Linked DNA regions of Canis lupus familiaris. The protein of the gene in region 1 purifies or fractionates together with the protein of each later gene. This does not show direct contact. Links are inferred from orthologs where the notes say so. Each region holds a gene or a part of one and is shown in the gene's direction. Other genes may lie near its edges.

Region 1 (2,475 bases):
TCTTCTACGATGTCTGAGTCCCCCAATCCTTGCCCTTCACTGCATAGTCTGCAGGGTTCCTGACTCAGGCCTGCCTCTTTCTGGGCCAGGCAAGCTTCCGGGCCCAGGCCTCTCTCACCTCTTACTTTTCTCCAGATTTTGTACTTAGCGATTCCGTTCCGCTGTGATCGACATCCTGGGCCTGTCTTGCCCTGTACTGACTGTTGATTGGACTTTGCCTGTGGCTTTCTTCAACTTGCTGCTCTCCCTCTCTATCCCATCCCTGCGGCCTCCCAAAGTGGGATACTGTGCTTTTTATGCAGTTATCCACCACTCGGACTCTCGAGGAATATGTTGGGCCTGGGGATAGAACCCTGGCTGGGGAGAGGGACACAGGCTCGAAGATCACTTGATTATTTGACCATAAATTAAGTATTCTGATTCGTAAGAGCAGATTGGGGGGCCAGGTGCTCCCAGTGGTGACAATAAAGTGTTGTCTTTTTCTTGGTGTTCCTGTAAGTATATTTTGGGCATTTTAGGGTAGATCGGGAGGATTGGTGGAGGTACCTCCTCCAAGAGGATGCCTATCCCTCTGCCCATCTTTTTTCTTTCAGCACAGTGGGCTCCTTGTAACAAGAAGTCAACAGAAAGAACAGACCAAATAGAACATGTTGAATAAGCCCTGAAATCCTCATACTTCAGGTGGCAGGGAGAGCCCTAAGATTGGACTTGCCTGTTCTCTGGTGCCGAACAGAAGTTTTTAGGGGGAGCAGCGGGAGGGGTTCCCATTTCTTCCCTCTCTCATTTCCCTCTGCAGGATGGGAGGAGGGAGAAAGGAGAGAAGAATGACCAGACCAGGAAGGGAAGGGAGTGGTGTCGACCCCGTTCCTTTAAAAATCCCGGGCCCGCACCGGTTTCCCAGAGGCCCTCGAGGTGGCCCAGACTCCACCCTCTTTGCCTTCCGGTTCTGGGCTCCAGCTGTAGCGTTTAAATCTGGCGCCCTTCGCAAGGATTGGCTACATCGGGGAGGGGTTGGCCGGCTGCGTGCTACCACTCCTCCTCGCCTTTTTCCCCGGGCAAAAGGTTTTCAAATCGGACCAATCGGCGGGCGCGCTGCCTCGGCCGTGGCGCGTCACTGAAGGGTTAACTGCAACCAACCGGAGGCGGGTACCCGAGGAGAGAGCCAATCAGGAGGGCGCGGAGGTGTGCCCTGGGGGCTTATAAGGCCGGCCCCTGGGCGCGCGCGGCAGCAGTTGGACTGCGGCGGGCGGCTGTTCGTTGCCCCCTTCGAGGCGTCCCTCTTCACAGCTCTTCTACCTCGCGCAGCATGTCGGGCCGCGGCAAGACCGGCGGCAAGGCCCGCGCCAAGGCCAAGTCGCGCTCGTCGCGCGCCGGCCTCCAGTTCCCCGTGGGCCGCGTGCACCGGCTGCTGCGGAAGGGCCACTACGCCGAGCGGGTGGGCGCCGGCGCGCCGGTGTACCTGGCGGCCGTGCTCGAGTACCTGACGGCCGAGATCCTGGAGCTGGCGGGCAACGCGGCCCGCGACAACAAGAAGACGCGCATCATCCCCCGCCACCTGCAGCTGGCCATCCGCAACGACGAGGAGCTCAACAAGCTGCTGGGCGGCGTGACGATCGCGCAGGGAGGCGTCCTGCCCAACATCCAGGCCGTGCTGCTGCCCAAGAAGACCAGCGCCACCGTGGGGCCGAAGGCGCCTGCGGGCGGCAAGAAGGCCACGCAGGCCTCTCAGGAGTACTGAGGGGCGCCCGCGCCGCAGCCGGCCCCCATGCCACCACAAAGGCCCTTTTAAGGGCCACCACCGCCCTCACGGAAAGAGCTGAGCCACGTCGGGCTCGGGGCGGGCGGCCGCGGCGCTCGGCTCCCCCCCGCCGCGTCGTCACCGCCGCCGCCGCCGCCCGGCCCGCCCCTCCCCCGCGCGGGCTCGCCTGCCCTCGCTCCCGCCGCCTCCCGGCCGGAGGGCCGCCCGCTCGCCCGGCGCAGGGGCCCGGAGGGGGCCGGGGGCGCGCCGCTGCCCGCCGCGGCGCCAGTGACTCAGCCGCCCGGGCCGCGCTGAGGGCCGCGGGGAGGGCCGCGGGGAGGCCGCGGCGCCGCCTGGAAGAGCCGCTCGGCGCGCTGACGCAGGGCTGAGGTACGCGCCGGGGCCGGGCCGGGCCGGGACTCTCCGGACGCCGCGGTGCGGGGACGACCCGTCACTGTCCGCCCTGCCGCCCCCTCGGCTCGGGCCGAACGCGTCCGCGGGGACCTGCCACCAGGGGGGGAGGGGCGGTGCGCCCCGCGGGCCCCGGGACTGCAGGAGGCGCGCGCCCGCGAACCCCGCCGCCCGGCCCGCTCTCTCCGGCGACCGCTCCGCGGGCCTCGCACCTCCGTACCAGCACCGGCCCGACCGTCCCCATCTGCACTGAGCCTCCGACAGCTTCGGAACTGGAATTTTGCAGCTATCCCCATCCAAGACTAGGACCCTACAGATTGAGGAGT
Region 2 (4,280 bases), on another chromosome or scaffold:
GGCTGAGACTGAGGAAGCCGTACAAAATGCAAATCTGCACTTTTATCTCTCACCAGCTTTAAACATTTCAAGGAATCTCTTAGATAAAAGCAAGGTCTCAGCCTGCTTCTCATAGCTTACTTCTCCCTGTCTCAGAATTTGTTTTCTGACACCAAGAAGTTTCTTCTGTGCCTTTTCTCTTTGTGGTTCCCTTTTGTAATGGTGCCTTCCCCGCCCCGCCCCCCCCCCTTCCTGGCTAAGTTCTACTCAACTTTTAAAGATGTACTTAGACAAAAAAAAAAAAAAAAAGATGTACTTAGAGATAAGGTCTTCCGGTAAGCCATTTCCCGAGTCCTGCAAACTTCCAAGGCTGATAAGGGGATCTCTCTTTCTACTGCACTCCCCTCGCCCACCCCCCAAAGGCGGGGACCACGTCTTATCTACGTCATGCTTTCTGCAAATGTTTGTCACTTTAAGCATCAAGTCCAAGGTTATCCAGCTGGTAATTAGTGCTTAAACCCCCGGCGGGCTCTCATTCAAATGCAAAGTCCCCCAAAATCTTCCCTCTAGCAGTGCTTTTAATAGTTTGCAAAACACTTCGATGAGGCTAGTCTTCATATCCTGGGGCAAGACTTGTAAAGAGGAAATGTTTCTAAACCCGGGAGCTTCAGGAAAGTACTAAGCAGTCATCAAGAAAGAGAGAACAGCAGCCGGGAGGGTCGGCCAGCTGCAAAGAAGACCCTCCCAGCCTGAAAAACCGCACCCAGCAGCCCTCACCCGAAGCCCCCTCCACCTCCAGGACTATAAATCCCAGCATGCCTAGCGTCCAGTGAGTGACAGCACGCAACGCACGCCGGGAAACGTAGTCCAGCCCTAGTTCAGGAAAAGGCCAGAACGTCCCGTGACGTCAGGAGGGCTCGGGAAAGGGGTCGGAACCGGTCCAGGCTCAAGTTTAATCATTTTGTAGCGAGCCGGCCCTGGTTTTCTTTTCTCTTTTTTTTTTTTTTTTTGGTGACCCGGTTTCAGGTCCTACCCCCGCAGTCCAGCGGCCCTATGTGCGTTGAGTAGCTTCTCGCGTGACTCCTTCAAGGTTAAAGGGGAAGTAGCAGAGAGCAAGAATAGGCAGCCTTTTGCTCTCGACGCGCCGACTCGTTAGGATAGTGGTACTCAGGACGCTGGCCTGTGCGAGAGCTGAGACGCTGCTTCCCCAGCAGCGCCGGTGAGGACGTGGCAACACTAGCTCGAGCGGCCGCTTCCTTTTCCTCTCGGCGCGTCCGGCGAGAGGCGCGAGGAGGCGCGAAGGCTGCTGGGAACGCGCATGCGCTCACAGCGGCGGAGAGTACACCTCCAACGTCTCCGGGCGCGGGGGGTGTCGGGTGTCGGCGGCGGCGCTTTGCGGCCGGTCGTGCGGGTCGGGCGCGGGCGGGCGGGCGGGCGCGGCGGCAGTGGCGCGCACAGGTGATTGACTGGCCAGCTGGCTGAGGAATCGCCTGGTCCCGGTTGCTGGCAGGTGGCGGAGCCCACTTGGGCGGCGGCAGCGGCGGCAGCGGCGACGGCCCGGCTCGGGAGGCGCTCCTCGGGCCAAGGCCATGGCCCCACGGCTGCAGCTGGAGAAGGCGGCCTGGCGCTGGGCGGAGACGGTGCGGCCCGAGGAGGTGTCGCAGGAGCACATCGAGACCGCCTACCGCATCTGGCTGGAGCCCTGCATCCGCGGCGTGTGCAGGTGAGGCCGGCGCACCGGGGCCTGGCGCCCGTCTGGCTCCGGACCTTGGAAAACTGGGCTGGGGCCCGGGGGTCTCGCCGGGGGAGAGGACGAGGAGAGGACGGCGGGCGGCTGTGCGCTTCCAGCGGGCGCGGAGAGGGGGCAAGGCGGAGGCTTCCTTCCTCCTTGACGCGTCCGGGCGACCCGGGCTCGCCGCTCGGAGGTGATGCTGCTGAAAAGCCCTTTGGGAAAGGTTCTGGCTTCTTATCTAGAAGATGGCGGTGGAAATGGTTGCAGGCAGGAGCGGAGAGCTTAGCAGACGTTGTTGGCTGTTGCATGTTGGCCACGGCTCGGCCTTTTCCATTGTAGGAAGGGAACTTGGAAGCGAGTTTCATCCCCCGGTATCTTTTATTACTGTGGACGCTGGGCTTGGTCACCTTCGTATTAGTTTTGGAGACGGCAGGTTTAGAAAAACGTCTGGGCAGCCTACGTCATCGGTACCCTTCACCCCCAGTTGACCTCCCCTCTCTCCGTTCATCTGTTTTAGCCCTTTTTTTTTTCTTCTTTTTTTTTGGGGGGGGGGCAGGGGGTTGCGTTCCGAGTGCGCCACTTGACCCAAGTTCGAAGTTTGAGCTGTGTTGGTTCTGCCCTTCACGTCTGCTCAGCCCCCTTGAACCTTTGCCTTGCCTTTTAGTTGGAATTCTCAGGCATTGTTCCTTGTCTCTTCGGATTTCTCTGCCTTCTTTTAACGCGGGAACTATAGTTTTTTTTTTTTTTTTTTCTTCTTCTGGAATGTCTTGTTGAATCGACTTGGCCGAGCCGGGCATGCTCAGTAGCCTCACTTCAGCAGGCGTTTAGCAAAGGCTTTCTGGAGTTTTTACACTCCGCGGCGGGATCCGGAAGGCATGGAAGTCCAAGGTCTCAGCTCTGGAATTTATAAAGTCGGGTTTGAGAAGTGATTCCAGGTAGGGAGCTTTCATAAGGCAAACGAGTAATTCCGAGCTCTGGGCGTCCGGCTCGCTAGGAGGGCGCATCTGACTCCCAACAGTAAGTACTGGCATGACAAGAGTCTGTGCGTAATAGAATGTATGAAGTTGCAGTTAGTTTCTCAACGTAATTAGATTCCAGAGTAACCAAAGAAACAACAACAAAAAACAACAAAACTTTTACACTGTTGCGATCCTGATTTTTTTTTTTTAAACACAGGTGAAGGAGTAGAAATGGGCTGGAACCACTATAAGAATAATGTCAGTTTTAAGTTGCAGTTGCAAGGTTTATATCCAAGCAGGGGTTTTTTTGTTGTTGTTGTTGTTGTCGTTTTGTTGTTTTGGCATTGAGATAGAATTCATATATTGCGTGATTCACCCATTTAAAATGTACTGCCCAGTGTTTATTTGTATATTCATTCACAGGGTTCAGCTATCACCACAATCTTAGTTTAGAACACCCCCCCCCACCACCGCACCCCTAACTCTTTAGCCGTTAGGTTGGCACTTGCCCATCGCTGTGCACCACCACCCCAAGCTCCAAGCAACCACTGATCAACTTTCTGCCTCTAGATTTGCCTGTCTTGGACATCTCATGTAAATCGAATTATAAAACAGGTGGACTTTGGGGGATTCCTGGGTGGCTCAGCGGTTTCGCGCCTGCCTTTGGCCCAGGGCGTGATCCGGGGGTCCCAGGATCGAGTCCCGCCTGGGGCTCCCAGCATGGAGCCTACTTCTCCCTCTGCCTGTGTCTGCCTGTGTCTCTGCCTCTCTGTCTCTCATGAATAAATAAATAAAATCTTTTAAAAAGTCTGTAAAATATGCAACAAAACTTACTAAATGTATAATTAAGTGGCATTAAATACCATTACAAGTTGTACAGTTGTCACCATTGTGTAGTTCTAGGGCTTTTCCATCACTATAAAAGGAGACTATCCGTTACACTTTGCCTTTCCCTCCTTGCAACCCCGGGCAACCACTGATCTTTCCATCTCTGGGTTTCTGTATTCTAAATATTCCATATAAATGGAATCCTACAATATAGCTTTTTTGGTCTGGCTTTCACGAAACCTGTTTTTCATTGTCTTCCATGTTGTATTATTGATCAGTACTTTTATTCCTTTGTGTGGCTGAATAACGTTCTGTTTGAATATATACCATATTTTGTTTACTCATCAGTTGATGGACTTAAACCCCCCCAACCTTTACTGAGAAATAGTTGACAAATAGAATTGCCTATTTTTTTTTTAATATTTTATTTATTTATTCATGAGAGACAGAGAGGCAGAGACACAGGCAGAGGGAGAAGCAGGCTCCATGCAGGGAGCCCAATGTGGGACTCGATCCCGGGTCTTCAGGATCACGCCCTGGGCCAAAGACAGGCACTAAACCGCTGAGCCACCCAGGGATCCCCCAGAATTGCCTGTTTTTAAAGTGTATTTGATAGACCTATGTAGTGGAATGAGTACTAAGATCAGGGTGGTTAAACACATGTCACCATAATAAACTCGATGAGCATTTTTGTTATATCCATTTGGCCTGTTGTGCTGCTATGAATATTTGGCTCAAGTTTTTATTAGAATACTTGTTTTCAGTTCTTTTGGGTGTATACC

What was found. The genes of interacting proteins can lie anywhere in the genome.
Region 2: the proteins of H2AX (region 1) and USP48 purify together in Homo sapiens (affinity purification with mass spectrometry; 3 studies listed by BioGRID). This does not show direct contact. The link is inferred for Canis lupus familiaris from reciprocal best matches to the Homo sapiens genes H2AX and USP48.

The regions. Positions count from the first base shown.
Region 1 is NC_049226.1:14,790,596-14,793,070, forward strand, and holds H2AX (histone H2AX), read left to right. Parts: upstream 1-1,203; 5' UTR 1,204-1,306; coding exon 1,307-1,738; 3' UTR 1,739-1,895; downstream 1,896-2,475. Other genes in the region: DPAGT1 (UDP-N-acetylglucosamine--dolichyl-phosphate N-acetylglucosaminephosphotransferase), read left to right, coding at 1-17. UniProt on the Homo sapiens protein: Variant histone H2A which replaces conventional H2A in a subset of nucleosomes. Nucleosomes wrap and compact DNA into chromatin, limiting DNA accessibility to the cellular machineries which require DNA as a template.
Region 2 is NC_049223.1:76,790,557-76,794,836, forward strand, and holds the start of USP48 (ubiquitin carboxyl-terminal hydrolase 48), read left to right. Parts: upstream 1-1,439; 5' UTR 1,440-1,568; coding exon 1,569-1,702; intron 1,703-4,280.